Linked DNA regions of Mytilus edulis. The protein of the gene in region 2 interacts with the protein of the main gene of each other region in a pairwise test. Links are inferred from orthologs where the notes say so. Each region holds a gene or a part of one and is shown on either strand. Other genes may lie near its edges. The genes, in order: cleavage stimulation factor subunit 2-like and cleavage stimulation factor subunit 3-like.

Region 1 (17,807 bases), about 23 Mb from region 2:
TTAAAATTAACAATTCAGGGGCCGCAACCCAAAAACAGGTTGTCCAATTCATCTGAAAATTTCAGGGCAGATAGATCTTTGCCTAATTAACAATTTTATCCAATGTCAGATTAGCTCTAAATGCTTTGGTTTTTGAGTTATAAGCCAAAAACTGCATTTTACCCCTATGTTCTATTTATAGCCATGGCGGTCATCTTGGTTAGTTGGCGGGGTCACCGGACACAATTTTTAAACTAGATACCCCAATGATGATTGTGGCCAAGTTTCAAATAATTTGGTCCAGCAGTTTCAGAGGAGAAGATTTTTCTAAAAGATTACTAAGATTTACGAAAAATGGTTAAAAATTGACTATAAAGGGCAATAACTCCTAAAGTGGTCAACTGATCATTTTGGTCATGTTGACTTATTTGTAGATCTTTCTTTGCTGAACATTATTGCTTTTTACAGTTTATCTCTATCTAAAATAATATTCAAGATAATAACCAAAAACAACAAAATTTCCTTAAAATTACCAATTCAGGGGCAGCAACCTAACAACGGAATGTCAGATTCATCTGAAAATTTCAGAGCAGATAGATCTTAACCTGATTAACAATATTACCCTTTGTCAGATTTGCCCTAAATGCTTTGGTTTTTGAGTTATAAGCCAAAAACTGCATTTTACCCCTATGTTCTATTTATAGCCATGGCGGCCATCTTGGTTAGTTGGCGGGGTCACCGGACACAATTTTTAAACTAGATACCCCAATGATGATTGTGGCCAAGTTTGGTTAAATTTGGCCTAGTAGTTTCAGAGGAGAAGATTTTTGTAAAAGTTAACGCAGGACGACGACGGACGACGACGACGGACGACGACGGACGCCGGACGCCAAGTGATGAGAAAAGCTCACTTGGCCCTTCGGGCCAGGTGAGCTAAAAATGAAGAATCTACATACACAGTTAGATTTGGCATATCAAAGAACCCCATTTATTCAATTTTTGATGAAATCAAACAAAGTTTAATTTTGGACCCCGATTTAGACCAACTTGAAAACTGGGCCAATAATCAAGAATCTAAGTACATTTTTAGATTCAGCATATCAAAGAACCTAACCGATTCATTTTTTGTCAAAATCAAACTAAGTTTAATTTTGGACCCTTTGGACCTTAATGTAGACCAATTTGAAAACGGGACCAAAAGTTAAGAATCTACATACACAGTTAGATTCAGCATATCAAAGAACCCCAATTATTCAATTTTGATGAAATCAAACAAAGTTTAATTTTGGACCCTTTGGGCCCCTTATTCCTAAACTGTTGGGACCAAAACTCCCAAAATCGATACCAACCTTCCTTTCATGGTCATAAACCTTGTGTTTAAATTTCATAGATTTCTATTTACTTATACTAATGTTATGGTGCAAAAACCAAGAAAAATGCTTATTTGGATCCCTTTTTGGCCCCTTATTCCTAAACTCTTGGGACCTAAACTCCCAAAATCAATACCAACCTTCCTTTTGTGGTCATAAACATTGTGTTTAAATTTCATTGATTTCTATTTACTTAAACTAAAGTTATTGTGCGAAAACCAAGAATAATGCTTATTTGGGCCCTTTTTTGGCCCCTAATTCCTAAACTGTTGAAACCAAAACTCCCAAAATCAATCCCAACCTTTCTTTTGTGGTCATTAACCTTGTGTCAAAATTTCATAGATTTCTATTAACTTAAACTAAAGTTATAGTGCGAAAACCAAGAAAATGCTTATTTGGGCCCTTTTTGGCCCTGTAATTCCTAAAATGTTGGGACCAAAACTCCCAAAATCAATACCAACCTTCCTTTTGTGGTCATAAACCTTGTGTTAAAATTTCATAGATTTCTATTCACTTTTACTAAAGTTAGAGTGCGAAAACTAAAAGTATTCGGACGACGACGACGACGACGACGACGACGACGCCAACGTGATAGCAATATACGACGAAAAATTTTTCAAATTTTGCGGTCGTATAAAAACTTGCTAGGTTAGTATAAAGTTTGTGTTTACCTCACCAATGTAGATAATTTGAAATTCTCAATTTTATAATTATTTATCATATTCTTACCTAAAACTAACAACAGGTCCAGCTTGAGCAAATATTTCTTTCAACTTTTCTTCTGTAGCTTCATACGGAATGTTCCCGACTGAAATTATGAACAATAATGTTGAGTTAAATCTAAATTTTTGAAGCTAAAATACATACATGTATAATTTAAAACTTCCTGTTTTGTAAAACTGAAAAAAAAAGGTAATTTATTAAACTGACAGACATGCACGAATAGTCACATCAACTTATGTGTACGTTTTACTTTGCTAAACATTTTTGTGTTTCACAGTTTCTCTTGATCTACCAAAGTTTCTCAAAAAAAATTAAATAAAAATTGGTGAAAATTAGGGCAATTATTCCTTCAATAGATAATTAATAATTTCAGTCATGTTGTCTTATTTGTATGGATTACTTTGCAGACATATCTATCAGCTTTTTGCATAGTAAGGGTTAAGTGCTATAAGGCTTAAAATATATTATTCCATATTGATTGTGTTTCGCCATTTTCCATTCTGTTTTGCCATATTTCATTTCGATCTATTTCTTTTCAATTCGGTTTCTTACTTTATCAGTACCACTGATCTAACATTAACAGTTGGTTGTCTATTTTGTTAGATATTTTGAAAGAAAATATTTAAATGACTTTCCAATTTTTCAAGTATTACAAAAAACAGATCTATTAGACCTTTCTTGAGCTGATAACAGAGGTGGTATTCACTGAGTGTTTTTTGCATGGGGGCTGCTAGTCCAAAGTATAATGACCTCTTGCAAGGCTATTTTTTTACCCTGTGAGTTGTAGACCTAGGAAGGTGTCACAGAAAAAAATAAAATACTTAAATAGCCTAGCAAAAAGTCATATAAGTTAGTAGTCCAAATAATTATGACGTCTTGGAAGGCTATTTTAAACTTTTGCTTTGACGTCGATGTCAAAAAAAATAAATTGGGACAATTTCATTGTACTAATGAACTCAAAATCGTAATTTTTTTTGTTACTATTTTTGAATCCCGCATTTGCGTAGAAATCTACTTCCTTTTTCCAGTCTTGTTGTCTTGAGACTTTGCATAAAATATATAGTAATCAGTCTAGTAAAATATAGGAAGGAACACAATACCAATTTCATTTTTAATGATTCTTTGATATGATAAAACGTTACCCAATGAAAAAAATATTTTAACATATATATATTTGGAAGTTAAAATACATGGTTGAAATAAAAAAAAAAAACAAGAATGTGTCCTCAGTACACGAATGCCCCACTCGCACTATCATTTTCTATGTTCAGTGGACCGTGAAATTGGGGTAAAATCTCTAATTTGGCATTAAAATTAGAAAGATCATATCAAGTCGATTGGACTTCAACTTCATCAAAAACTACCTCGACCATAAACTTTAACCTGAAGCGGGACAGACGGACGAACGAACGGACGGACGAACGGACGGATAAAAAAAGGTATACAGACTTTGTCCCCTTTCACTGGTAATGCCTGCCTCATATTAAATAAGGTGCCTATAAGTATCATCATGTGATGGGTTTTCGTACTAATAAAATTTTTAACTGCTAAAGGATTTCACTGTTGAGTTTTTATCGACTTGTGAACTCAGTGAGGCATGTTTTTGGCTTTAAATTAAAATGGCTAATCTGGTCAGTTTTATTAAATTTGTTCTAGCGTCTTTTAAAGCGACTTTGAATATGTTTTAAATTTGTCAAGTTGTAGTGTTGTTGTTGTTTCAAATATAGAAAATGAAAAAACCTGCCACAATATACACGTGTGCAATCAAAACCAATCGCGCCCATTCACGTTCGCATCCTATGCGTTCGTCCCCCAAAGTCTGTTTGCACCCTACACCACGTTTTTGCCCAAATTTTATTTATACTATCATTTACTATGAAATACAAATCGTACATAATGTCATTGTATCTTCATATCTTTTTTTGGCAGAAAAAATGATAATGATCGAGTCAAAGTTTTATTGGTTTTGTGTTTAATAATTTGTAAACGAGTATTGGAAAGTGTGTTGCAATAAATATTTGGCTTTCATATTGTCATATTGTCATACTTGTCTAAACACACATGAGATCTGTCAAGTATTTGCCACTGTACAATTGCTTAGTAACTAACGTCACTAACGTTACCTAACCACAAGAAACACGATATTAAGATCAAAGGAGACAGCTGTTAAAAACAATTATATTTTATGATTTTTTTTAATTTAAAATCTTCAAAGATTTAGTCATACCAAGCTAAATATATGCAGTTATTTACATCAAAGCAAGTTAAAAGACTTACAATCATAATTTTTAATCACTAAAAAATAACACCAAATTAGGCAGTAATCATATGGGTCATTCTCAGTTATTCAGCATTTTTTTATATACCTTGGTGAAAAATATAAATGTTGGCTTTTGGTCCATTTTTTGGTCTCAAATTGAGACTAAAACATTGATCTTTATGGTTCTAATAATAAAAAGATAGTTCAGTATGTGGAAATATATTTTAATTGAATTTTTTTAACAGTACCCTCTGTGTTTTGGATGTTATATATTTTTCATTGACAGTATCATATATGCATTAAATGTACAATTTCAATAGAATAATTCATATATTTTAGATAAAGAAGTTAATATCTTTAAAATTAAAATCATTTATCAACTGATATTACAATAGAAAGGGAGTAATTATGTATAATTTGTTGTTGTGGATGTGACTCAAAATTAATACATTAAAAGTTTAGTTCAACAGTTTGTGTGTCAATTATTTTTAAAGGAGAATTTATAAGATTTTGTTGTGGTTATTCATTAAACAGATACATTGGACTTTTCAAATAAATACTCATTATTGCATATATTTTTTTACGGAATTATTATGGATGTCATGGATGTTACATTTTGACAATTGACAAAATGGAATTTGTATAACATCCAAAACATAAAAAATATCCTGAGTTTGTGCATCAAACAGTAATGTCCAAAACATGTCACAGAATTATAAGTATATTTCAGAGCAACAGTTAAACCATACACATGTTAAACTAATTTTAGTTTATATAATATAATAGTACCATGTTTATATTCCCTCAATTAAAATTTAATGGGGTTAGTTTGTTCTTTCTGTTTTGGATGTTACTTGTTCAAGTAAAATTTAGGTCACAATAACATCCAAAACAAGTGTTTGTGCATCAAACAGTAATGTCCAAAACATGTCACAGAATTAGAAGTATATTCCAGAGCAATGGTTAAACCATACACATGTTAAACTAATTTTAGTTTATTGTAAAATAATAGTACCTTGTTTATATTCCCTCAATTATAATTTAATGGGGTTAGTTTGTACTCCCTGTTTTGGATGTTACTTGTTCGAGTAAAACAGTAATGTCCAAAACATTGATCATTGATTTGAACATTGTATAATAAAACAGATAATAACTTTGGATATTGTTTTATTTTTCATCATCCAGTGCTACGATATTTAAATAGTGCAGATACATATTTTAATATATAACTTATTTTTAACTAAAATCGTACGGACATTACGCAACCACATGCTTATCACGTCAAAATATAACATCCACAAAAAGGTTTACAGGTCAAAATGTCACCGTCCATATGCATCTGTGTTGTTTATCGTCAAATTGGCAATTTCCGTCATATTATATTTACCTATATATTGAACCACGTAAATAACTGATCACGCAATGAAAACTTACCATTTAGTTGCGTATTTGTTACAATATCAATGAATTTAAATTAAGTTTTGGATGTTACAATTTGCTTTCGCCTGACCGAACTTAACTTAACTCGCATTTTCGAAAGTCCCACGGCTGCTTTGTGTACACAAAGATCGATGACATCTTTTTGGACGAGTCCAAACTTTCATTTAGGGGGGTTGGATATCGGACGATTGTAATATTGGAAGTAAACGAGGATTCGTTTTGGATGTTAATTATTGACCGATATTACCACGTCTGTAAAAGATTGACGATTTCTTTTTATTATGAAGCCCTGCATGTCATATCATTTTACAAAATACATCTAAAGAACAACAAAACCCCTGTTTACTTTGCGAATAGTGTTGTCCACATTCTGTTCTGTGTAAATATTTATCGCAAAATTAGCTAAGGTTTGACCGATGCAGTAACATCCATACACTAATTTTTATTACTAAAATATATATATTAATAATGCCCTGTTTATTATATTTTATACATGAACAAGTAAATCTGAGTATATAGTTTTTATTATTCCTTAACTTGCCCTGGTTGTGCATACAAAAATGACATAAAAATATGATTAAATATGACCATGGAAAAATGTCCCAAAATGGACGCCATCAAAACACCCTTTTTTTATTTTAAAACTCTTGTAAATTTCTTTCTTCTCCACTTATCATCCTTAAATTATCTTTAATATCTATTCAACATTAGTAGAAAAGAATAACACATCAGATTTGCCAATATCTCCTTTATTTTCTTCACAAATTATCATCAAAGTCCAATGGTACTGAATTGCTGATTAACTGAGAATGATGTACATAATTAACATTTTATAGTTTAAAATCCATCAAATTAAAAAAAAAAAAAAATGTGATAATTCCTCCAATTTTATTCAAGAAAATAAAATTATTTGGTGAATATACATATAAAAAATATCTAATTATTCAATGAAATTCTAATACAAATTTGGCGCGAACGTGTAGGGTGCGAAAGGACTTCAGGGGCGAACATGTGAGGAGAAACGTGTAGGGTCAAAAAGTATATTGGGTGCGAAAAGACCTGATACCGATGAAATATGGATGATACGAAAACATATGACTAGACGATATAACTTGTATAAATGTAATTGGAAGGGGGCCACCATCTTCAAAGTTATTATATATTTTACTGGAAAAGGCACAGGCATTTGTAACTGTCAACGGGGGATTTACTTTCCACACTCTGCGAAAAATTATACAAGTGTGAAAAAAAAACATTGACATAAACAAGTCCTGTGCCGTGGGAAAAGGGGAGACAATCGAACATAATCGATAGATCGTCTATCTCGTTGGTGATCAGCTGCTTACATGGATATAATCTAAAAAGAATGACTTCACAAATTTAATGTTTTACCAAATACAGATCTATTTGATCTTTCTTGAGCAGTTAAAGGAGATGGCAGTATTAACCCATTATTTTGTTGCATGGGGGCCGCCATTTTCAAATTTATTCTTTAAATCGAGGTTTTAAATCATATCTTTGAAAGATAGAAAATACATATCTGATCAATTAGTTTCTTCTTTATAAATGAATATAATGAGAGTTTTATATTGCAAAACCTTGAGTTTAATTTCATATACACAAATATATTTGATTTTTTGTTTCAGAGACTTTAAATCATTACTGCGTTTTTTTATACGAAAAGATGGCCAAGGATTCAAGCGTTTGATTGTCTCAGGTTGAACAAATGTTGTAAATTTTGACCTCCAGTGCTCTCTTTAAAAATTTCATAAGATGGCAAGCTTATCATGGTCAAAATATTTCATGAGGTGAAAAAAAGTTCCATACCATAATAATTATGTAAAATGAAAAAAATAATAAAGTCACTTTGAGTCAAATGTTTGAGCCGAAGCGTTCTCAGACTACCAAAAGTGCTAATTATTACAACAACATTCAAGTTTCATCAAATCTGCCAAACATTGGAAATTATTCCACTCTGTTTGCAAAAAAAACAGAGAAAGTCAGACTCACTGATCACAATGTTTAAAGATCTGAATACAACTTGATTTCACTCTTTCAGGGCCGTAACTAGCCTCTTCAAATAGTGAGGCAAAAGATATTTAAGGTTCATGTGGACCCTAAGGCTAAAATGGCCGTATTTTCACCTCAAAATACACTCTGAGTACAGACAAACCTGCGCATCTGTAAAACATTTCAGGCATAGCATGCCCTGGATAAATGAATTTTAAGTATGTTTTATGTTTTAGAAAAATAAAAACTTACCAGGATTTTGCCGTGCACTCTTTTTCATTCCTCCAGAAGGTGCCAAAAAAACTAAGTTGGGAAACAGGTTTGAGAACTTCCCCACAAGTAAAAATTAAAGTGAGCATTTTTAATTGACATGGACATTAGATGGACAATAGATACCTGACAATAATTGGTTATTTAAACTGTGTACCTGAGTGGACCATATCAAGGTAAACTCAACTGTTTGTTAATTTTATCATCTTCTGCAGAGACGAAAAAAAGTGTACGGCAAAATCCAGTTAAGTTATAAATTTTCTAAATCATACAATGCATTTGAATTCTATTTATCTAGGGCATGCTATGCCTTAAAACTTTTTCAGATGCACAGGTTTGCCTGTACTCAGAGTAAATTTTGAGGTGAAAATACGGCCATTTTAGCCATAGGGTCCACATGAACCTTAAAGAATGTAAAAATTTTTACTCCTTGGATATATGTTCAATAAATTTATTTGGCTATTAAACTGTGAGTCTATTAATATTTTAAAACAACTTGGCTATTTCTTATCAAAACACCTGCCTTGAGTAAACATTTATAATATAACACTGGGATACTGTAAGTAATATTTAAAATGTCTAACTTTTTAAAGCATACTGTTTTGTTGTTTTGCTTTATTTTATTTGTAATTGTTTGTAACTATATATTGTCATGAATGTATATGCACTATGCCCCTTGAGGGTACCTCTTATGGAAATAAAAGATATTCTATTCTATTCTATTCTATATGGCCGAGCGGAGCGAGGCGCAAAAATATTGGAGAGGGGACTGGGGGCCGCTCAAGGCCCCCAGAAGCTCTGAGAAAACTAACACACAATCGTGCATTCTGAGCGTTTCCAAGACTCTTTCTGACATTGAATTGCAATTAATTTTTAGCTTTTTTTCGACAATATTCTGGTCTGAAAGCAAAAACATAGATTTATTGTATTTTAAGACTTTAAGGTTTTATGGTCAACATTAAAAGACCGATATGTAGGACAAAGCAAAATTCGTAATTCTCATAATCATTAATGCGGTATGGGCTTTGCTCATTGTTGAAGGCCGTACGGTGACCTATAGTTGTTAATATCTGTGTTATTTTGGTCTTTTGTGGATAGTTGTCTCATTGGCAATCAGACCACATCTTCTTCTTTATATATACTGTCTGTCTGTTTTAGTCTTGTATTGTGATTAGACTTTGGTGATATTTTTATGACTAGATTGAAATATTGTGACAGTGCAGTATTATGCTTTAAATACTAGTACTGCTTAAGACGACACTAGGGACACTTGACCCTGTTTTACGATATAAATGATTCTTTTATTGTTGAAGACCCTCCAGCAACTTTGACCAAATGATTGATCATTAGTATTTTTTATGCATTGACTTTGTGTGGGATTAGGTTTCGTGCACATTTACTCCATATTCCTTTATTTTCTGTAAAAGGGTCTGAACATGACTTAATGCAAGTTTAACCCATCAATGGAAATGGTCATATGGCAATACATTATTGATTTGTGTCAAATTATTTGATACTGGAAAATTGGTGACCTTATTTTCATTTAAACCATGTCAGGTATCTAGTTTTATCAACCAAAAGTAGCCAGTTGTGAATTCTTTGATATCAAATTCAATTCTCCATGCAGAAACGACCATTTTTTTCTGTGTCTTGTATATTCTTAAAACATTTTCTCGCACAATATCTGGACATCGGTGGGCATGCAACATTGCAAAACCACATGTTTACAAATGAAAATCAACACTCAGACTATTGTCATACAGTACGACAATAAATAAGCAAAAGACAAACTCGGGACACAGAAGTTCAAACAATAGACCATCAACTCTGAAAACTAAAAGTAAAAAAGAAACATGGATCACGAAAAACATGCAGGGGCGACATCAGATAGTGAAGAGAATTTGCTTCTTGTTAGACACTTTCCGTGAAAACAATTTGATATTAAGACAATCTTTTGTTTCATTTTTTTTTTTTTTTTTGAAATTTCTAACATGAGGCATTTGCCTCATTTGCCTCAATGTAGTTACGGCCCTGCTCTTTAGACTTTAAGAATAAAATATAGCCTAATTGATAAATAAGAAAAATCACTGACTTGTGACCAAAAATTCAAAAGCTGTTTAATTAATATGAGGCAGGCATTACCTGTAAATGGGGACGAAGTCTGTATGAATTATTTTTTTGTAACTTAAATATTTGCTAAAAAAAAGAAAAGAAAATACCGTAACGTTTCCAATTTTGGTTCTGTTGTAAGGGATTTTAGTTGTGACGTTATTTAAGTTATGACATCATATGCAATGTAAACAAAGAAACGCTATCATCAGGTAACGTTTTTTCATATCAAGGAATTATTAAAAATGAAATTGGTATTGTGTTCCTTCCTATTTTATACTAGACTGATAAATATATATTTTACTCAAAGTTTCATACAAACGAGACCGGAAAAAGGAAATACATTGTAGATTTCTGCGCATATGCAGGAATTCAAAACATGACATCAAAAAAATTGAACGATTTTGAGTTCATTAGTACAATGAAAATTTCGAAAAAATTTTCCTGATTTTTTTTTTTTTTTTTTATTGATTTTTCTACTGTTATTGGGGACTTCGTCCCCATATTAATCTTAAGACTGAGTTGATAAAGAAGAAAAATTCCTTACTCTGTGACCATAAAGTTAAAAGCTGTGCTGAAAAGGGAGTAAAAAGTAACATGAGTAATGAAAGGTTTAATATTACTAAAGCAATGGGCTCAGACAATACATTTTATCTACCGAGGAGTACTCTAAAGAACTGGTTCCTGAACCTTTTGGTGTAAAAGTCACTTCTTTCAACTATGGTATCTAATATATTTATGAGGGAACCGTATCAGAGCAATAGTTGCTCTTGACTCAATAAGACCAAAAAAATCATTTTTAAGATATTCCAGTTTTAGTACCTACAGGTGCATGTGAAAACAAAACAGTTTACAACCAAGAAAACTAAATCCATGTACATTGTACAGCAATCATTATCAAGCATGAATCATACACATGTACAACCAAGAATAAGCCACTCACATGTACAATTAAGCATGAACAATACACTGGTACAACAAGCAAGAAACAAAATTCTCATCAGGATTTGTTGATGAATAATTTTTGTCAAAAATAGCAGGTCTAGTGCTCTCACTAAGATTATTTCAAGTGCATGTGTAAGGAGTAATACATTGTACCAGTAAAATAAAAATTATGCAATATTAAACTTACACTATGTCTTATTTTCTATTTTCATATTGTCTGTGAAATCTACACGGTTACATAGTACAGTAAGTATTTATTAATCTATTTGATTAGAATATGAAAGTTATTGTGTATGGAACAGTTGTGTATGTTATTATTGTGAAAGGTCATCATACAGCCTTTAACAATGAGCAAAACCCATTTTGTATATAGTATTAAAGCTGCCAAAAGCAGTGATTATGGCTTGATTTTACAACATGTGAAACAACTCAAATGAGAAAACCAACAGCCTGATTTATGTGTAATCACATAGAGAAAACCATGGCAACCATGGAGTTTCAGGAGACTAGGAACTGGCACAAAATATGTTTAGTTTTTTCCGTTTTTTTTCTTTTTTTTTTTTCTTTTTTTTTTTATCGAATTTCAATTATTTACTCAGTTTTACTGTCAAATATTCACTTTCTGATCAAGGTAAGATGATCTTAATAAATAAAAATCAAGCTTTTAGAGTGGTCTTGAATTTCTGCTTTATGAAAAGTGATATAATGTTTGTAATGGTTCAATTGAAATTTCAGTTTTAAGCAATGAAACCTAATTATATAAATAAAATTGACTTCTGATATTATTTTTGTGGTTATGTCACTTATGTGTTTGGTCTGTGGTAACTATTGTAAACTTTAACAATGGGCGGTGTTTTATTGTTAACACTATGTATCCTGATTATAGTACTAGTTATAGATATATGTGTCTTATTTTTTTCAGCATTTCTGGGGTCCTGGTAAGTTAATAATTAATGAATAATACATTTGTATTTAATACTATTTATAATATTGATACATGTTTACAACAGCAATTATTTAATAATCTTAACAATAATACTAGTACTGCTTGATGCATTTCATGTTCATTGCTCTTTAGTGAGCTCACATTTCATTCTACCTGCTGTACCTGCTTGCAGACATGTGACAGATTTGCCAAGTCAGAACTGGAGATTACATGGAGTTTTGACCTCATGAGTGAAGAAAATTGACATTTAATATCCATGCCATGATGGCTTTGATGTTCATTATGATAGTAATACTAAAGATTTCATATTTTTGTAAAATATTAAACTTCTGCATTTGTCAAATAGTATGTTGCATTGTATAACTTGTTTGCCACAAACCTCCCCTAACCTGGGGCAGTGGTGTTACAGTACAACATAAGATAACTATAACACTGTATAAAAGTCAGTCGAAAAGGGCTTAACTCATCAGATCGATGCAAAGCACATTAAAACCCTAACAAAAACATAAAAGACACAAAGTACCGATATGTGAGAATTTTCAGTTACTAAAAGTTAGTTCAAAGCCAATACAACTAATTAAATAAATGTGCCTAGGACTAAAATATCAATCAGTACACATCCAACATCCAAGAATATACACATGTCTATATTAGTGTTAAATTTGTTATTTTTCTTCCATCAACAGTTGCAAATTGGGGACTTCCTTTGGCAGCATTAGCAGACTTAAAGAAAGACCCAGAGATGATTAGTGGTAAAATGACTGCAGGTAGATATAGCTGTTTATAGAATATTGTGGATTCATTATTATTCATTGGGTACCAATTTTCATGGTTTTCAAGGGTAAAAGTGAACTATGAATTCAAATGTTCAACAATAACATATTTTCAATAGGCCTTATATACGAACATTGGCAAAACCACGAAAGTAAAATATCCACGAATATGCAAGTTTTCAGCGTTCCATGAAAATTGATACCCACGAAAATAAATGAATCCACAGTATTCAGGTTGCAAATCTATTATGGAATTGAGTTATTGCCCTTTAACAATGATTTTATGAGCTTACAGCGTTGTAGAATATAAACTTGAAAAGTGAGAAACTGCTAAAGAAAAAAATTGAAAAATAAGCAAATTAAGTTCCACTCAGTCTTTTCATTTCATTATTAAAATAATGTGATTGTGCCATTTGTGTTTTTGGATGGTCAGATTTTGAAGAATTCATAGATGTGGATTTTATTCTCTAATTTTACTGAAATGTCAATGTAGCAATTATATAAAAATCAAGCTGTGTTCCAAGAACTTTTCAATTTGAAAAGGATTATAAACCTTCAAAGCAATAACTATTGAAGGCAAAAGACTACATAAATGCTACACACCAATATGCTCCTGAATGGAATAGCCAAAACAGTCAATCAGGTAAACCTTGCAGAGACTTCATTTCTTTAAAAATTAGAATTATTTTAAATGATGGTTTATCATTTTATTTTGGACAGTGGCATTTTGGATTATTTTCTTAAAAATAGTGTTTGAAGAGATTATTTAGATGTTTGGAAATAAAGTTAAAACTTGTTATAAGCTTGGAAATTAAGACAAATGGTGACCGTTTTATGAATTTCGTATTGTAATGACAACACACAATAACATTTTTTACTATGCTGAAATGACCATTTATCTTCCAGCATAGGACAAACATGAAAATACCAGAAAAAAGAGATTGAGATTCTTCTCATGCACCTTTGTGATTGTTGTCTCTTGAGGAGAAATGTTCAGTCTTTGATTTGAGCTAAGAATATTAATATTATGTCTGCAGTCTATGCTAGTGTTACTGAACTAACATAATTACACTAAATAAAATTGAAAATGGAAATGGGGGAATGTGTCAAAGAAACAACAACTTGACCATAGAGCAGATAACAGTAGAAGGCCACCAATGGGTCTTCAATGCAGCAAGAAACTCCATTACCCGGAGGATGGCTTCAGCTGGCCCCTAAACAAATATGTATACTAGTTCAGTGATAATAGACGTCATACTAAATGTCGAATTATACAAAAGACACAAAAATTAAAGAATAGCTATAGGTATGTTTTGAGATTTCACGGTATAACTGATAATTTTTTAATACTTTTGCCTATTTATTTTGTAGCACTTGCAATTTATTCCTCATTATTCATGAGATTTGCTATTAGAGTACAGCCTCGTAATATGTTGTTGTTTGCCTGTCATATAACCAACTTTTCCGCTCAAATGATGCAAGGTGGAAGAGTAATCCATTATCAGTAAGTTAACATTTTACATTGTGTGTTATAGTGTTTATCTGGATATTTAAGGAAAAGTGACACTTAGAGGTTTCATTTAATATTCATGGGTGTTTCCATCCTATTTGGAATAAAGCAGTTCAGATATGTGTGTAAAACTATTTGTTGCTGTCAGATAGAATTTCTACTGTCTTTTTGACAACTACTAAGGATAGCATCACTCATCCTGTATCAGGGGTCTTGCTGTGCTGTGCTTAGTCGATAAATACAATATCATTATCTATATGCCATCATTTCTGGTGCAAAACCTAGTTTTTTTTTGAAATGTCTATTAAAGGAACAACAGAAATCTGGGATACCAAAAAAAAATACTGCCAAAAAATGTTCATCATAGAATTTGATTGGTCAATGTTAAAGGGGCACTAGCTGTCAAATTCATGTTCACCGATTTGGCTTATATCATATTTGATTTATAACAATGAAAAACATCATCCAAATTATTAAAAGTCTGAAACAATCAATAAATAAACTCATCAAAGATACCAGGACTAAATTTTATATATACGCCAGACACGCGTTTCGTCTACAAAAGACTCATCAGTGACGCTCGAATCCAAAAAAAATCCTAAAAGTGTTGCCAAATACAGCTAAGGTAATCTATGCCTGAGGTAGAAAAGCCTTAGTATTTCAAAAAATTCTAAATTTTGTAAACAGTTAATTTATAAATATAACAATATCAATGATAATTCATGTCAGCACAAAATGTGCTGACTACTGGGCTTGTGATACCCTTGGGGAAATAAATCTCCACCAGCAGTGGCATCGACCCAGTGGTTGTAAATAAACTCATCAAAGATACCATATACTGTAATAACAGGACATGGGCTCCATAATATGTAGCTTTGTTTAGTGTGTATTTTAGTCTCCAGGACTAAATTTTGTAAAAAAAAAATTCTAAGTATTTTTACTTATGAATGGACTTGGTTTTTCTGCTAGTATCTTGAAGGAAATTTTGTAAAAAATATATTTCCAGTTTTTCTGTATGTTACATATAAATACTTATAGGACTTCATTTTTCTTCCAGTTCACATTACATACAGTCTGCAGTTAAAGTTCTTAAAACCTTTATTAGATTCAAGTAGTCAAGACACTGGGTTCCACAGAACCCTTACAAATTTTTAAAAAATTTTGCCATATATAATAAAAATTTAAATAGTAAAATAGACACTTTGACCTATAATGGTTTACTTTTTTTTAAATTGTTATTTGGATGGAGAGTTGTCTCATTGGCACTCACACCACATCTTCCTATATCTACTTTAAATCACAAAAATGATCCGCAAGGCAAGATTTACTAACACACCAAATTTTGCCAAGAAAGTTACTAGTAGAAGACGTCACTCTTTATAAGAGTGATTGCCCAAAATATTTTTGACCCTCTTATGTGTTTTGAGCAAAAACTAAAAAAGATAGAAACTAAACACACTAAATGATCTGCAATAAAAGACAAACAAAACAGAGATTTTTGTCATTTACTCTTTTCTCATCCATCTACAATATTGGAAAAAGTCCTTTTTTAAATATGCATATATACCAATGTGATCGACACAGATTCTTTAGAGCCTCCAGTTATTATATGTCCATAACCATCATATTTTTAAATATTTAATATTCTTCAGTTATTTTACCCCAGTATCAGAGAGGAAGAAACATCATATTGAAGTTGTGGAAGAAGAAATTCACCATCATCCTGAAAGATACCCAGAGATTCATCCAATACCGTTAGATCACCTCACACAAAGTCAGGCGGAAAAAGAAGTCCAGGAATTTGACAAAAAATATTCCCTCCCTAAAGAACCAGTACCACATATAAAGCCTACATTATAAACCTTATGACAGAAGTTTATAAAATTTTAACAAATTTGAACAAATTTGCTTGTTGATAAACTTGATTTTGATTTTTAGGCTGATTGAAAAAAAGGCATGATCTCTAAATACGCAGAAACAATATGTTTAAAAATTGTTGTACGGTTTTAATGAAAAAAAATGAAAGTTCAAATTGATAACCAGAGAATTTTTAATTACAATGTAATATGATATATTGTTATGAAAATGTTACTGTTGTTTTAAATATATAGAGCTTTCTTGAAACTCACTTCTGAAAGTCGGAATCTGATTTTGATATAACTATGGAATACAATTTTTTTTCTTGTTTAAATGTGTACTGGTATGAATATTTGTTTAGTTCAGTGCATAACTAGCTTCAAATTTTAGTTTAAGATTAAAATACATGAATCTGGAATGAGTTTCTGAAAAAGGACTATAATAGTGAAATATTAAATATCTTTACATTGTAATGACCTATATTTTAAAATGTATGGCATAATGTTATATTTTTACCTGTGATATACAAACTTAAAGATTCATTTTCATAGAAAATGAAATTCCAAAACATAGTATTATATTCTAAAATTAAATTGGAATCTCATTTAACCTTAACTTGCCATGAACACATTAGACGAGAAAGGTTTAGTCATATTCAGTGTTCTCTCTAGTATTTTCACATAGGTTTGAAACAGAGTTATGTTCCAAATTTATAACACCTAATTTATCAATTGCTCAAAGGTAGCAAGGTGATTCAGGGTATTGATTTTGATAAAAATTCTAAAATTAAAATTATACCATCAACAATTGGTATCACTTAAATATGAAGATAGATTTTTTTTAATCAGAAAGGTATGGAGACTAAAAAACATTGCACGGTTTAATTTCTCTTTGTCGAAAAAGATAAGAAAATGCGTACCTACCTACCCACTGTTTCAACCTTGAGGTAGGGTTTGTACAAACTAAAATATTTTGAAGTGTGGCCTTCTGGATTGTTAAAAAATTGTGTTTAGTTGATTTCATTTGTGTTTAAGACATTCTGCATGCAAGTTGAAACAAAATTTGTATGCTGACTTAAATTTTTGGTTCACTTAAGCCAACAACATCCATGAAAAATTCCTACTGCATGGACAAGAAAAAATGCTTTGTTTACACACAAAAAAATCTACAGTAAGATATTATATTAATGTGAGTGCATAAAAATTCAATCCATATTTGCAAGCTAGAATTCAGAACATTCCAGACAGAGACATAGTAAAGATGTATATAGAAGTAGACACATAAGCTTCTTAATAAACAAAAATTATATGTACTATCACTGGTATAGCATCTGCAAAAATACTGCAGTCGTACTACCTAAAAATACTGCAGTGGTATTACCTAGAAATAAAAATGTTCTAAATTAACTAAACACCTATACATGCATTATACTATATAGTTTTCCTGATAGGAATCACTATAACTTCCAAGCTGCTGATTTGTTATTGTTTTTTAATGTTAATCTATAGATTGTAGCTTACACCTGAAAATAAGTAAGTAATGCCTAGTTATTTCACATGTTGCTTTGTATTGGGTTCACACATCTGACGTGGTAATGTGTCCTAGTATAACAATG
Region 2 (17,315 bases):
TCCCTTAGACTTTGTCGATAGGGGACTAATAAATATTTGAAACTGATTTTTAAAACTAGTATGAGACATTGCAGATATAAATCTTTGATATAAATTTCAAAAATGTAGGTGTGGGAGTGCTTTCTTGTAAGCAAAATGCAAAATATTCAATTATGCAATATCTCATGTTTAAATTTATATTTCCAAAGGGTATAACTCCTTCAAAAATAATGGTTGGAAACTAATTTGTCAAATTTTTCTCTAGAAATTGCACATATAAACCTGTCATATAAATTTTATAATCCTACAAGAAATGTAGCTGCGAGACACTTTCAATGCAAAATACCATAATTATATTTCTAAGGGAGCATAACTTTTAAAATAAATGTTTTGAACAGACTACAAGATTTGACTTAATTCATAAAATTCTGGCAAGGTTTGTTTCAGTGAGAGTTCTTACAAGAAAGAATGGACATGCACCAAAGCCAATTATTCTATGTCCAGGGTAACGAAAATTAAGGAATCTTTCGCATTGTATATAGTTTCAGGGGAGCTAATTATTAATAATCAAACAAGTGTTTGATTTCTTTGACAAGCCAAATATCACTGGTTTATAAGCACTGTCTCCATTTTTTTGTTATGGTTTATTATTATAACCCTTCATCAGTATATGTTCTTTTAGCAACTCAAAGGTGCTGTTGAATCATAAAACTTCATACAAAATGGGTAATGATCTGATCCTACTAGTATTTCATTTAAGCTTACCTGTTTCAGCATATGAACTCATACAGGAATGTAACCCACTGTTCCTTAAATATTGTATATAATCAGTCCATGAACCCTCATGGTTTGGATTAAATTGTATGTTAATGTTTATCAGATTTCTAAAGCAGTGTTTTTGCTCCTAAATTATGTTTCTAATCATGTCTAAAGACAACTTTCTTCTTGACAGAGATGTTTTCTTTTTGATAATACTAATTGTTTGTTTTTTTGTTTGTTTGTTTCAAGTTTTGTTTTTAATTGACATAAGCTTTTTGGTGTACAAGATATTTTTGTTTGCTAGTTAAAATATATACTGCACAAGCATTTAACAATAAACCTGAAATATGTTGTATGCTTCAAATAGTTTACATATCAATCAAAGCAACTGTGAAATGACATTAGCATGAAAACTTTAACACCGATTTAATATATAATAAAACCTGAAAATGAGAATGTCAGGAGACAGGTCACTGTATAAAGATATGTTCATTTTAATATGGTCCTGCAGATAGAATATAGTCGACATATTACTTAAAGTGACAAGATATTAAGTGATCTATTTTTGTTGCTTCGAGTCAATATTCGAACTCTGTTTGATAGCTGTCTCAATGACAATCATACCACATCTCCTAATTGTATACAAAGCACAAAAACTTAAAAACAAAAAGGTCACTGGGAGTCTTGCAAAGACCAATATTGATTCCAAAGAAACTGACAAAATTAAACTGACCACTAACTTCCCAAGTTACCGAACCAAAATAACAATTGAATTATGTCAACCAAAAATTTTATATCAATGAGCCATCTATAGATTGTTTAAAACTCCTTTAACCATAAGTTATGGTTTTTTTATACAATCATACCACTGTTGTCACTTACTTATCCGAAAACCTTTGTTTTGGGCAAAACAAACAATACTAGGCCAAAAATGGATTAAGGTGGTACATAACACTACAGGGAGATAACTCTGTAAATCTGCTGAATGTTTTAACCACCTTATATTGTTGTGAAATATAAGCTTTCCAGGGGCGTAGCTGGGTATTTAGTCTACTGTAGGCACCAATGGTCAGGGGGTCTTGGGCCGCTGAAGGCCCCCAGCAGTTCCTACCTGCTTAGTAATTTTGAATAATTGTGGCCATTACATGCAGGTTTGAGAGTACTCAAAATTACTGGAAGCCAGTTGACTGATTGTTTTTTTTACACCCAGTGTCAAATATTTATGCAAGTTCAGGACTGTTGAAATTTTTCTTTGCAATAAACACAACTTGGAGCTAGATCCTGTAATAGTGTCGTCCAGGACGAAGGTCTGGAAATTTAAAAATGACATACATTGGAAAATGAGGGATTATTGGATAGGAGGAGAAATTTTGCCTTTCAGTAGACCAACTGCGAACTCCTCAAAGAGTTGCATTCTCTCTACAACTAGGCATCAGATTTAATTTCCCCATTCTGATCAGAAGTGGCTGCGTATTTATACATCCTGCATAGCCAAACGGACGACCAACATTGGCAAGTCGGGTGAAGACAAAGTGGAAAGCTAGTTGAAAACTAACAACAACTAATTAAAAAGCTCATGTGTCTAAGTTGAGGTTCATTCAAGTTTTTGTTGATAGAGGTGAAATGATCTGAACCAAAGTTCTAGTTTATAGTTTCTATATAAGGTAAAATCGTAAAAACATTCAATTCTATCCAATATTCCATTCATTTCACTAAGGACGAGAGACTAGTGTACACATAACATTCGATAATTAAAGAGTTTTGACAACTTCACCGGCTTTCATCTACAGATAATGTTTTTTTTTTTTTTTTTAATAAAAAAAAATATTTGTGAAAAAAAATGTGTAGGCATGTGCCTAAAGTGCCTAACGGCAACTGCGCCCCTGCTTCTCAATGATCAAAATTAGTGTTTGCCAACCTGCTATATATCCAATGAAATTTTACCGATAAAGTGTGTGGTTCAAGTTTAATTTTTTTTATATTTTTGTCAGAGGTTCAAAGTAAATATAGTTTCAGAAATTAAATTTTTAAAAAATTAAATGATCCAAATCAGTTTTAGTCAAGGTATTGGGTACCACCTTAAAAATATAAATTTGAATTGATCTATGCGTGCACACACTTAAGCGATCTGAAATGTTGACTGGTTTCACTTATCATGATTGAATTGATGTTGCAAGTGTGTAATATAAAGGTATGATTTTAAGTTAGTATCATAAAAACTGAGGTCAAGGTCAGATGAACCCAGCCAGACATACATAAACAACTTAGCCTAATGCTTCAAGTATATGAAAAACCAACCTGATTACAAAAATTGACTTTTGACCAATAAACCTTAAATTTGAGACCTGCCAGACAACATGATCACCATGCAATCATTCCATATACCAATTATAGTTGATAAATTGCCTATGAAATATGATTAAGGACAAAACAAGTAAAAACGTAACACTGACCAATAAATCATGAAAATTATGTCAAGGTCAGATGAAACCCGTCAGAGGAACATTTACACTACAATTAATTTCTAAACACAATATATAGACAAGTCGACCTATTGGAATTGCTTTGAGTACCTGAAGTGAACTTCACAATGAAAATTTCACTTTGATAACTGATCCATGAAATGAGGTAAAGTCAGGTGAACTCATCAGATCACCAGAGGTAGATAAAATGTAGGCCTGGGAGCAACCCCCCTTATTGAGCAACTTATATCTGCTCACTGTGTGATGGACATGAAGACCTTGAGAGGAACTCAAACACCATATAAAGTTACCTTGTAACTTATAGAAGAGGAGTATTCCACGACAAAAAAATTATTTTCAAGCAGTTGCTGAAACATGAAAACAGCATCATTGACAATGAACATATGACAGACGGAAACTTCTTAACATAAGGAATCTGCATACGAGGTACATGTATGTTTGGAGTTGAGTATGGCATTCATTATCACTGAACTAGTATATATATTTGTTTAGGGGCCAGCTGAAGGATGCCTCCAGGTGCTGGAATTTCTTGCTGCATTGAAGACCTATTGGTGACCTTCTGCTGTTGTCTGTTCTATGGTCGGGTTGTTGTCTCTTTGACATATTCCCCATTTCCATTCTCAATTTTTTTATACACATTTGACGATAACAAGTCAACTGAAACAGATTTGTTTCTATAATTAGCAATTCCCTATGAATAATGAAAATGGAGCACAGTGAAAGAAATAATTTTTACCACATTAAGAAAAGAAAGTCTATAAACAGCTATAGTTCAAAGCCCAATTTCCACCTACTGTACAGTTATACAATGTTCAAAGTCATCTGTTTTAATTCACACAGTATTTTGACCTCATGGACCTATTGACATCTTTTGTTTATTTTTATTTGCTGTATATGTGTCTGTCAATGGTCATTTTGTAGTGTAAAGGCTCAATCATGTAGGACATGCTACAGAATTTAATTTGAAATTTATGAATGGATTCTGCAAATTGACATTTTACAATGTTTAACCATGTTTAACCTAAAACATTTTTCTGTTTGTGTGTAATAAATATGCCTCAAGCTACATTTGTACTTCAATCAAGATAATTCTGTCATTGAAGGCTGAAACCAATAAAAAATTCTATACTTGGAATCAAATGAAAGCTTCCTTAAATTACTAATGCTTGAAGCTATCAATTGATGAATACACATTTGAAGCGGAAAATTTCACACATTCTGCTTCATATAAGAAATGTGCCATAACAATGAATTGTAGCTTAAAAATAATTTTCATAATAAGTTAACAATATACATGTTGAATACATGTGTTTGATACTTCCAAATTTGTGCATTTTGCACCTGTAAATATATTCAGCCTTGTGTGAAATATTCCTGTTAAGCTGGAATTTAAAACACAATTAAAAACAACCATTTGAATATGTCATTGGCAATGTTTATTTATGTACCATAACATTACCCTTCTTTTTCATGTTTTTACTTTATATAAATTAAATAAAATTATAAATAAACATCTACACTGATTACTTATCATCATGCAGTTTGAATTATATACATGTAACACAAAAAAATGTAAGTGTTAATATTATAGTTTTTAAAATATTATGTTGAATGCTGAAATAAAGATTTTCAATTAAACACTTCCTCTCATTCCATTCATTCTAACTAATACCTGTATACCAAGACTTATTTATAAGAGAATTTATTGCTTTTAATATATCTGTAAATCAAAAAGGGATTATCCCCCCTTTTAGTCAGGTAAATGTTGCTAGTCTTTAGTTTTCCATTTGTGTATTCTTGTCTTTTCTCTTCTGGCCATGCATTTTTTTATATTGATTACACACTGATTAAGTTTGATTTTAACTGGTTGAACACACTTTTCGAACTAATCACTATTGGCAGTATTGGGATTGGTGTCAAATGTTTGGTTCCAATTGGTCCAAAGGCTTTTAAAAATGTCACCAGCACGTGTTATTTCTACAAGATATAATATTGGCTCAAGAAATATGTATCGTAGGAGATGTAAATCCGACGCCCATTATGAAATTCCTCAATAACAAAATAATGGGCTTTAAAGGGGCAGTCCCGCACTATAAGTCAAATTCACTGATTTGACTCTAGTTCTCATATTAGATTTAAAACGATGTAAAACATTGATCCAAATTATAAAGTATAAAATAAACAAATAAAAGGGCATGGGCAAGATAATATTTAGCTTCATTTTGAGAGTTTTTTAGTCTGGATTCCATCTTATTAACTATGGAGAAAAAAATTAGCAGATGGTTGACAACTCTCATTCAATCACATTCACAAGTAAATAAGTCAACAACATATAAAACAAGAACTCTAAAGACTTTGTAAATGATTTATATTCATCATGTTCATCAGTAACAATGTAAAGTTACTTAACAGACCTTTTACCCTCAGTATGATATCACATGACCATAATGACTGCAATTGCAAAAGATAAAAAGTACCTTATAAAAATATGCAACTATAAAAAAGCATTTAAAAACAGAAATTTAAATCAAAATTGAATTCAACTACAGTATAGTTAATTTTCAGCACTTTAAGGTCATGTGACATCAATAGTAAAAACAAAATTTAAATAACCTCTTGTTCTATGTAAATCCTCCAATATTTTCCAGAAGTAGGAAACTGTTCTACAAGCTGTTCGTAGACTGGTCTTGCATTCTCTATAGGTTTCATCTAAAATTCAAAAAAGGAAGAAATGATGAGTTTTCACAATTGAAAACAACAAACATACAGTAAAAATGTCTTACATTTTTGTTTTTATTATTTTTTCTTAATATTGAAAGGAAATACATGAATAAGTAATCAAGTATAATAACAAAAGTTATTATACATGTAGTAGTATACTTTTAAATGATCAGTTATATTTTGATATTAATCATGAAAACGGTTAATTTATGCGAACAGATTCAATTATCATGATTGTAAGTTGTTACGATATATACCTGCAAGTCTCTTATTAACAAGCTCCATGATTTTTTAATAGACATGGTCAATTTATGACAATACAGATTCAATTATCATGATTATTAGTTGTTACGATATGTACCTGCGAGTCTCTTATTAACACGCTCCATGCTTCTGTATCGTAAGATTGTGTACGAATTCTCTTTTCAGCTTTCTTCAATTTGTCAGGGACATACCCCACTTGCTGAAAAGTTTTCAATAAAAATAATTGATTAAATCCTTCAACTGCTGTATTGTTAAATAAGTTTAAAAGCTTAAAAGGGGTCTATGATACTTTTGTATAATGTATGTTTATGTTAGAATTGAAACTATGACAATTATAGGCTTGTATATGCAGAAAGCATAGTAATACATGTATATATATAAAATATTAATACAAGAAAATTTGACATTGTAGTTTTCAATGTCAGTTGTCTTGAATAAAATAGTTTTCATTTAAATTATTTTCACTGATTTAAAAGGAAAGCTATTGAATGAAAACCAATCTATACAAATGGTATTATCATCATTCATGACAATGGTTCCAAAATGATTAATTGCTTGAATGTTTCATCTCTTTTTGGAGTTTTTCTCATCATGTTCAGTTTATGTTAATCTACCAAGTCAAGTGACCAATTTACAGCTTGTTGGGGCATATTTTTATTCTAAATTTTAAAGGGAGAGTGAGCAATATTGAACCCTTACAAAATAAAACTTTTCTTGAATAATATGATTTGGGAAGACTATTAAAAAAATATACATGTATGCTCAAACAAGCTGCAAATCTTATCCCTTTTGTCACAACTTTGAGTTTGAAATTGTTTATACATGTATAATATATGTGCAATTATATATTTTCTGCTAACCAACACATGACCAATATAAACTTAAGCCAATATGAATAATCCAGTTTTTAAGTTTTGTATTTTTAAACATAGTATGCACTTTATAAATCTTTATTTTAAGGTTGATGTGGACCCTATGGCTAAAATGGCCGTATTTTCACCTCAAAATTTAATCTGAGTACAGGCAAACCTGTGCATTTTGAGAAGTTTTAAGGCATAGCATGCCCTAGATAAATAGAATTCAAATGCATTGTATGATTTAGAAAATTCATAACTTAACTGAATTTTACCGTACACTTTTTTTCGTCCCTGCAGAAGATGATAAAATTAACAAACAGTTGAGTTTACCTTGATATGGTCCACTCAGGTACCAGTGGCGGATCCAGAGGGGGGGTTCCGGGGGTCCGCACCCCCCCCTTTATTTTGGCCGATCAATGCATTTGAATCGGGACATATGTTTGCACCCCCCCTGCACCCCCCCTTTGCCCTGGGCTAGCACCCCCCCTTTCGAAAATTCCTGCATCCGCCACTGGGTACACAGTTTAAATAACCAATTATTGTCAGGTATCTATTGTCCATCTCATGTCCATGTGAAACAAAACAGCTCACTTCAATTATTACCTGTGGGGAAGTTCTCAAACCTGTTTCCCAACTTAGTTTATTTTGGCACCTTCTGGAGGAATGAAAAAAAGTGCACGGCAAAATCCTGGTAAGTTTTTATTTTTCTAAAACACAAAACATATTTGAAATTTATTTATCTAGGGCATGCTATGCCTGAAATTTTTTATAGATGCACAGGTTTGTCTGTACTCAGAGTAAATTTTGAGGTGAAAATACGGCCATTTTAACCATAGAGTCCACATGAACCTTAATATCTAGGCTATGGTGTATAATATTTCCTTGAAACTTATCCAGACTCAAAGGTTAGTATCATGATCTATTCTGTACATTTTTAGGTGAAAGCAGCTATCTAAAACAAGTCTTCATTCTTAACCACACATTGGCATGTAAAATTGCTTTTAGGCCAACAAGCCAACTGAGCTGCGGGCTTTTGGGCTCATATGTAAGTTGATCGTGAATGCTGCAGACAAAGGGTCCAGGTGAACCTTAAGATATACATGATATAATGCTTAGCACTACATTATATATATTTTAAAGGGCACTGATTTCAAAACATGTTGTTAAATGCGTGGTTAAATGGCTTTTTATCGTCTGAATAATTTATAATACAGCAGTGTACGTAACGGTTACAGCATATCCATTCGTATCTTCAGACTCTGTCGCTTTATAACCAGATAACTCAGTGGCGGATGCAGGAATTTTCGAAAGGGGGGGTGCTAGCCCAGGGCAAAGGGGGGGTGCAGGGGGGGTGCAAACATATGTCCCGATTCAAATGCATTGATCGGCCAAAATAAAGGGGGGGGGTGCGGACCCCCGGAACCCCCCCTCTGGATCCGCCACTGTAACTAGCGTGTCAAAAGTCGTGGGTATAAACAAACAAGATGTCGCGTTGCATTGACGTTCTTACCTCCGGTGGCATTGCTGCCATGATTCAAATAAATAACTACAACACGTAAATAACAAGAACACTTCTACGGTTTCATGTTAACTATTTATTTGCAGTAGGCATCGCGTGTGTCCATGCATTAACAGCTTTTTCAGGTGCTTGGCTAACCGGCAGACATTCGAGACATGCTGCTCGTCATCTGAAACAAAATCGAATTTGATTGGTTGTAAAAACATCAAGGAAATGTCTAAAACAAATAACGTTATTTCGATCTTGTCCCCAATTTTCTTATTTCATATAATAAATAGGGAAGCTATAATTTAATAAATATTTAATAGAATAAACTCCTATAATTTTTTTTGAAACAGGACAAATAAACATTTCTATTTTAACATATTAAACTCAGAAATTTGGTATATGGACGGCTACTATTTAAGTAAGGGATATAAGCCGATAACAGAATGGACTGTTAGAGGATTTAGAGGCTTATAAATGTCTTACTTAAAACATTGTTTAACACGTGGAAAAAGGTAAAATAAAAGAAAAAGCAAGCAAAGATTTATTTTCCTCAAGTTTGAAAATTGCTTTGTGAATAAACTTTCTTTTTATTTAGATATATCCTACATGTTGGCCCCCTTAAACAGTAGCTCAACTTAAAAAAAAATAGACAAAAAGAAAGTACAGCTAAAGGTAAACAATATGTATTGCTTCATGAAGCCCATGAAGTATAAGACAAAATGTATCACTATGCGTATCATGAATTTTGTATTCAAAATCTATTCAGATAGTCTTCATAATTTCAGTGGGGATTACTAAGAGAATATAGTCAAAGCAGCTAATAATGGTAAGTTTTATATATATATTATATTCCAAAATGTAGTCCTCTCCTATAAGTTTGTTGTTTCTTGAATTCTCGGGATTTATTTTTTACTACGTGAATGAGAGAAAAAAAGAATAGCATATGAAGATGGGTTCTTGTTGAACCATGCATATCGAGTGCACCGCAGTCGATTTTATTTCAAATATATAATTAATATGAATAAACGAAGACGATGACTTATCGGGAAAAGATGTTGTTCTCGATCGATTTTTATCATTCAAACTTATTTAACTTGAAAACGAGTTCACGGACCCCTCTTTTTAAAATGCCATTTGGTTTGATTACGCGAGAAGATAATGGGTTCCAATTTTCATGAAAACGTAAACAGTGCATTTTTTTTTAAATTGGATAAATATACAGTAAACAATTTTGTTTTTTCTACATTCATGAACATTTCATAAATATGAGTTATTTTTGAATAAAAAATGTATACATTTTTAGGATATTTATAAAATACAGATATAACAAATTATTCATCTATTAAAACAAAAAAGTTTTGTCTTTCTTTCGAAAAGAAAAATACGGCCACAAATCCGAATTTTGAGCAAATATACAAAATTTCGACCTCATTTTACTCAAAAAGTAGCACATGAGAAAAATGGCTGTGGTAGAAGTATTGGTAGTGTTACAGATCCTCAGAGTACAGATCAATTTGAATTGTTGTGTTGGAAGGTTAATAAAATGGTTTTTTTTTTATTGTCATTTAATTGTTCTTTGGATGTTTGGTTGTATTTGAATTTAAATGTTGTTTCTTCATAGACAGAAAAAAATATTACAGTCATTCCTTAATTAAAATAGATTTGTGAAAAGGAGATGTACATACATTAATTTAAGGAATGACTGTAATATTTTTTGTCTATGAAGAAATAACATCAAAAATGTGGTGCACACTGATAACCCGCGTAGCGGGTTAAATAAAGTGTGCACCACATTTTTTATATTATTTCGAATAGGCAGAAACTGAAAGTATTACAGTCGTTTCTTATAATTTAATTCTTAAATCCATTCAGGGCCGTAACTACCTATGAGGCAGGGGAGGCACTTGCCTCCCCTGAATTTTCTACACCAAAATTTTTTTTTAAGTACTAAAATGAAATATTGACAATATGTACACGAAGAACTTGAATTTATATTATAAACAATAAAAGTTTAAGTTTTAACAGTGTTATCATGTTATATGATATATATCTGTCATTTTCCGGATTTTTCATCGAAAGTGAACCGTTTCAGTATTTGTTTTTTTTTTTGTGTGGCCGTCCGTTAAGCTGGTTATCAGCTGACTGCCACACCGTTTGTTCATAGAGTTTGAGTGTAGTGTAATACAAGCGGATTCCAGTTTAGCCGTCCGTCTGTTATTCAAACACATGTATATGAAAAACACAGATGAAACTTTGTTTTCGACAATTTTGAATAAAAGTTAACTATTTACATTTATTTACCGGCTCATTGAAGCAGAGGAAGTTCCCTTTGTATTGTGAATCTTTTGTGATATTAAAAATTCGTTACCGGCTGAATCAGCTGTCATTTTTTTTAAACGCGTCTCCAGATCATACGAGAACATTATGGTCAATGCCTGCGTAGTTAAACACTCCCATTCCGACGGTTGTAGCAGGGACTTTCTATACTAAGTAAATTTTAGAATTGAAAGTCCCTGGTTATAGTTTTACACATGTCTGTTCAGCTTTCAACAATATTGAAATTCAAGGTCCTCGATAAAAAAAAATATCTTGCGATCTCTGATCTTGCTTTATTTTTTATTTTTTACCTTACCAGTTTGATTTATAACAAAAATATCTTTAAATTCAGATAATAATTGTTTGAAAAAAAATGCTTCCAGGATCCAGCAATACTGATGTTTCTTAATCTTAACGTAAGGAAAACGAAGGAAAACGGGTTATTTTTAGCCATATTGTGAAAAAAAAATCCGAGTTTTCAATGTATTTAGTCATGGTTAATAATTATAGGTCAAAGTACGGCATACAAGACGGAGCCTTGGCTCAACCGAACAGCAACCTCAGCTTGTTTTTTGCAAAAAAATTGATTCAGTCAGGTTCAGGCAATACTGATGTTTCTTAAAGTAAGGAAATCGAAGGAAAACGGGTCATTTTTAGCCATTTTACTGAGAGAAAAAAATCGGCGGGGGCTATCTTGGGGGCCTCAATCGGCGGTCCCAAAACCCTGCCTCCCCTGAATTCGAATCCTAGTTACGGCCCTGCCATTCTAAACCGGAGTAAATCATGAAAAAATCTTGATGACGTCACGGTCACATGGCAAAATTGTGTATATGGGCCGATATAAAACAACTTGTGACGACGTCAGCAAATCAGAGCTAGATGCTTTACATCCAAAATCAAATTATTGTAAATTGTGACTCTGATGTTTTTTAAATAAGTTGTTAAAGCGTATTATTGTGTTTGTTTATTCTGCATATAAAACGTAGAATAGTCGTAGTATATAAGAGGGGGAGGACAGGGGTAAGGGAGACAGGGAGAAAGGGGGTAGGAGAAAGGAGAAAGGGGGTGGGAGAAAGGAGAAAGGGGGTAGGAGAAAGGAGAGGAAGGCTGGGAGAAAGGAGAAAAAGTTGGAGAAAGGAGATAAAATAAAATATCTCTCCTTTAAAAAAAAATTCTAATATTTCAAGAAAAAATTTCTCAAAAGGAGATGTTTTATTCTAATGGGAGAAAGGAGAACGGGGGTAGGAGAAAGGAGAAGAGGGGTGGGAGAAGGGAGAAGGGTACCCCCCTGTCCTCCCCCTCATATAAGGCTTTAGCGTGGATGGGTCGCGATGAGAAGCCGGGTAGTAGTCGTGGAGAGGTCGTATTATAAACGTGGATGGGTCGCGATGAGAAGGTAGTAGTCGTAGAAAGGTCGTAGTAACGTCGCTGTGAGATCGTAGCGTAGTATTTTCGACTAGAAACTAGATGGCACAGCGATCTTTGTGATCTGACTTCGATCTAACTGCGCTCCAGTCCTACTACTACGACCTGATTTCTCAACGTCCTTTTTTAAGCCTATAATACAAATAACGTATTATTATGTCATGTCCTAATAAAAATACTGATATGTGATATGCACTCAGGATATGCACACATTAGACACATGATGCTCATTTACGGTTAATATTATCTGACTTGCATATTGGAAGAAAGTGAAACAACGTAGCCTGGTTGTGGTAAGATAACCGACTTTAAATAAACAAACACTATCAATGTATATCACTGCATATGTTTTAAAAGTCATTTATATGTATAAGTTACAGGGAATTTGTAAAATCACTGGACTTATCAGTGATTATGTATAATCACTAAACAGTTTCAGTGGTTATGTAAAATCCCTGACAGTGGCGGATCCAGAAATTTTCATAAGTGGGGGCCCACTGACTGACCTAAGAGGGGGCCCGCTCCAATCACGCTTCAATGATTCCCTATATAAGCAACCAATTTTTTTCCCAAAAAGGGGGGGCCCGGGCCCCCTGGGCCCCCTCTAAATCCGCCTCTGCCTGAAATTGTTCTAGGGATTTTACAAAATCACTGAAAATAGAGCTAGGGATTTTGTACAATAAGTATAAAGTGTTAATGACTAAAAGGTAGTAATCCGATATCTAGACCACTGTAAATTTACTTATTTTTACATGTCAAGTTTTGGATGATAGCTACTGTTACATAATTGCCCTGTCTCTATCAAATCTATTATTTTGTAGGCAGCAAATCAATAATTAAACACTTATTTGCTTTTTGTATATCAATTTTGATGAAACCTTTAATTGTGGGTATGTTAATTGCTCTTGATTTAAAGACATCTGTGTCTGAGCCATCGTTTTATAGTACAGTATGTCAGTTGTATAGTACATGAAAACTGCTTACTTAATTAAGGCTAGATTAATCTCAAACTTATTGAGTGTTACTGTTGTAGGCTTTTTTTCACAGAAATTCTTTTTACAAATGAATTAATTCATTTTACAAATTCCCTGAATTTAATCAGTGATTTGTAAAAAAGATCTTAATTATTTCAGGGATTTTGTAAAATCACTAGTCAAAATCAGGGATTTTATAAAATCACTAATCAGTTCAGTGATTTTACAAATTCCCTGAAATTTCAGTGATTTTACAAAATCCCTGATTTCACAAATTCCCTGTAACATATACATGGTACATATTTGCCATTTTACAGGTTTCCTCATTTAAAAAAAAAAAGATACTGTACTTAATGCCCATTTTTTTTGTATCAATTTCAGAACAGTAATAAATGAAACATTTTACTCTTGCATCAACATGTACTTAAATTATGATGTTGGTAATGTACCTTTAATTCCTAGTCACAGTTATAGTCTTCGTATATAAAAGGATGTAATGGCAGGAATCTCAGGACTGGAATCCAACACAACAGGATCAGCTGAGCTCTGGGAAATAATCTGCCAGGTTGAGCAGTAGATAATTGGTTAAGTTCTGGTATCAAATCCAGTAATTATATCTTATATCTGGACCTTTACTTCATTCCTCCCAGTCTTACGGAAATAACAACCATCCATTAAAATATATCTCGCTATATCTTCAGAGGGTACATCGATCATAGATGCAATTAAGTGTCTAACTGATATCCTTTAATAGTTCTGGAGATGCTCCAGGGTATCCCTGGAGTAGATGGGGGGAATCAATCTACAAAACTAAATCTTCTAGGTCCAATGGACATACAGTTGATCTGTAAGATGAGTATTTGTTATCCATAAGTAGGAATTGCTCTAAGAGATGCCAAATTTACCGTTTGGAAACATGGTTTTGCATTGCCGATATTCCTCCATATCCCCATTAAAACAATGCCAATGAATTAGATGGTTTTCCTCTCGGAAAGTAGATAATGAATCTCGGGACATGGTCTTTAACAGCTTCTTAAAATTATCTCCTCTGCAATGTAAAACTACAGGTAGGCGTGCCTTTTTGCTATTCTCAGTTCTTTGCTGTTTGGATTATCAGAGGAGTCTAATCCCCATTCCCCAACTGCCACCATTCTATTTACACAGATAAGCATCTCTAAATCTGTAATCCACAAATTCAGGACACTCATTTCCTCTCCTTTTTTTATCCGTGGATGTATTCCAACAGTCGATATTATTTGTCAATCCTTTCTGATTTCTTCCATATTTTCTCTTGCTGGCCAACGTCTTTGAAATACACATATATCCCTTCTAAGTGTCTGATTTGGAATACTAACTCACCATCATTCAACTTATAGATCGGCTTGTTGCTTAATCATATCCAAATGAAAATGCGAATCAGTAACCATAATAACATTTTGAATTGATAAAGGGGTACTTTGATTTCATATTTAATGAGGTTATCTACGTTTTCAGTTCCTTTTAATAATAAGGCAAACATTTTTCAATGTACCAAAGAATATATTGCAGATGGAGGGATACAGCATGCATAACCTCTACATTTAATCTGTTTTCCCTATATTGTAGAATTTCAATAAAGGTATGTCTGTCCTGTGAAAGTCAGTTGATTAGTATTGTTTAAAGGCATCATCTGTTCGTATACTAAATAGTCTACCAGATGTTTTAGTAATCGCGCAATAAATAGCGTTGACAGAGTTCTAAAAGGAGACCATTCATTAGTTCTGTCCATACAGACTGTTGTTCATCCTTACAGTTGTGAAGCTAAAGGCAATGGTTTTCCAATATTTCCCTCTCCTCTGACCAAATTGATTTTGATAAGTTTTACATGAGGTTAGTGCGTTAGTGTTTCTGGGCAAATGTGTGTGGTATACATAAAAGTCATAAAATTGAGGATAGAAATAGAGAATGTGTCAAAGAGACAACAACCCGACAAGGACCATATAACAGCCGAAGGCCACCAATGGGTCTTCAATGCATCGAAAAAATCCCGCACCATGAGGCGTACGTGCCTTCTTACATTATTAAAACGACTTGCACATACCAGACATAATTTTGCCTTGCTCAGGTTCTTGCGTACTACTGCATTTAATCTTTGTATCTTCCTCTAATCTACCGCATTTAATCTTTGTATCTTCCTCTTATCTATCTGGATTTTCACCATTAAATGACATAATCAAGTCCATCATCCATACTTAGAATGAATTAGCAAAACTTGTTTTACTAAATATATATACAAATAGTCCAATAAACAATACTTGAGATATCTGCTGTACATATAGTAGGACGTCATTTGTCTTTTTCGCACACCAGTTTGTCCCCAGCTGGACCTGTTATATAATGTATCAAAACTATCAATACTTTTATCTTCATGGTTCGGTATTAGAGAGTTTTGACTAAACAAAGGAAAGGGGGTAGGAGAAAGGCGAGGAAGGCTGGGAGAAAGGAGAAAAAGTTGGAGAAAGGAGAATTTTTTTAATTTATCTCAAAAGGAGATGTTTTATTCTAATGGGAGAAAGGAGAACGGGGTAGGAGAAAGGAGAAGAGGGGTGGGAGAAGGGAGAAGGGTAACCCCCCTGTCCTCCCCCTCATAGAAGTATTTCTCTGTCAAAGCACAGTTTGAGTCTATCATGATGCAAAAATTCCTTTCTTTTCCTGTCTTTAATCTTCAGCAATACAGGAACACAAAACAAACACATACGCGGGACCTTTCCACGGAAATTTTATTTTCAGAGATATCCCTACTTGCATGGCTGTATCTATTCTTAATACAACCCAGCAGAAAAAGACGTCCATTTGACGTCTTTTTAGGTTGAATTATGGTAGCGATGTCATATTACAAAAAATACGTCAAAAAGACGTCGAGAAAACTAAAGATGTTGTACTTACGTCTTTTTAAGAAAATAAACTCATCATTAATATATCACGATACCATTTTGTACTTACGCCAGAAGTGCGTATCGTCTACAAAAGACTCGATCATCAGTGACGCTCGAATACAAAAAAAGTTTAAAAGGCCAAATAAAGCACGAAATTGAAGAGCATATTGAGGATCAAAATACTTAAAAGTTTTGATAAATACAGCTAAAGTTATATTTTCCTGAGGTAGAAAAAGCCTTAGTATTTCAAAAATTCAAAAGTTGTGTAAACAGTTAAGGTAGATGGGGTGTCTAAATTATAATCCATAGATTTTTTTTAATAATTTGCCTATATGTAGTTTATATTATGCTTAAAATTAAAAAAAAATGGGTCACCGGGCTTATTTTCAAGCTACACGGTGTTTTAAATTGACAAATTTTGTATAGATTATGCATGGAAAGCCAATTTTCTGCAGTAAAGCGTAATCTACACCATAGAATTTCGAGATTACATATTAGAAGATGGCTTTAATAGTATGCCTTCGGTTAAGAAAAAGAAAAAATGTGGTCACCGGACCCGTTTTCTTGCTACATTATAAAATAGGTAAATTCCAAACTCATTCTAAAGTAAAAGTACTTTAATCTGAATTATCTGCCCTTGCATTTGCGTTGCCTCCACTTATTTGGTAAAGTTGGAACAAAATTGATCGATCAAAAATACAACCATAAATATGATAAAAAATGTCATTTTCTATATTGAAGTTGAAGTTCTTACACATGAATTACATACTACTCTAAGACTACTACTAATATTTGCACATTCTATTAAAGATCTAGACCTTGTTTTCTGGTATTTTCAAGACACCCTATCTACCTTAATTTAAAAAAATGACCATTTCAATGATAATTCATGTCAGCACAGAATTTAAATAGATACTAGGAATAGTCACGATCTTAACATAAGTATGACGTCCCTCTCGTGCAGCTGCTTCAGAATCCGCGACATAATTCCAACGTCATATCAAATAAGTCACATTAAACTATATAATTGATATATCTACTCGTATACGTAAGTTACACTTTTTTTTAGTAATATATTGTATATATAAATCAATCTGTGTGCATTTTTTACTTGA

What was found.
Region 1: the proteins of cleavage stimulation factor subunit 3-like (region 2) and cleavage stimulation factor subunit 2-like interact in a two-hybrid assay, tested with the Drosophila melanogaster proteins (2 studies listed by BioGRID). The link is inferred for Mytilus edulis from reciprocal best matches to the Drosophila melanogaster genes su(f) and CstF64.

What each region holds. Positions count from the first base shown.
Region 1 is NC_092353.1:66,387,248-66,405,054, reverse strand, and holds the start of cleavage stimulation factor subunit 2-like, read right to left. Parts: upstream 7,280-17,807; 5' UTR 7,250-7,279; coding exon 7,165-7,249; intron 2,158-7,164; coding exon 2,079-2,157; intron 1-2,078. Other genes in the region: probable mitochondrial pyruvate carrier 1, read left to right, coding at 12,795-12,819, 14,197-14,329, 15,988-16,195.
Region 2 is NC_092353.1:43,454,816-43,472,130, reverse strand, and holds the start of cleavage stimulation factor subunit 3-like, read right to left. Parts: upstream 8,774-17,315; 5' UTR 8,595-8,773; coding exon 8,574-8,594; intron 6,406-8,573; coding exon 6,304-6,405; intron 5,931-6,303; coding exon 5,835-5,930; intron 1-5,834. UniProt on the Drosophila melanogaster protein: Essential protein, may play a role in mRNA production or stability.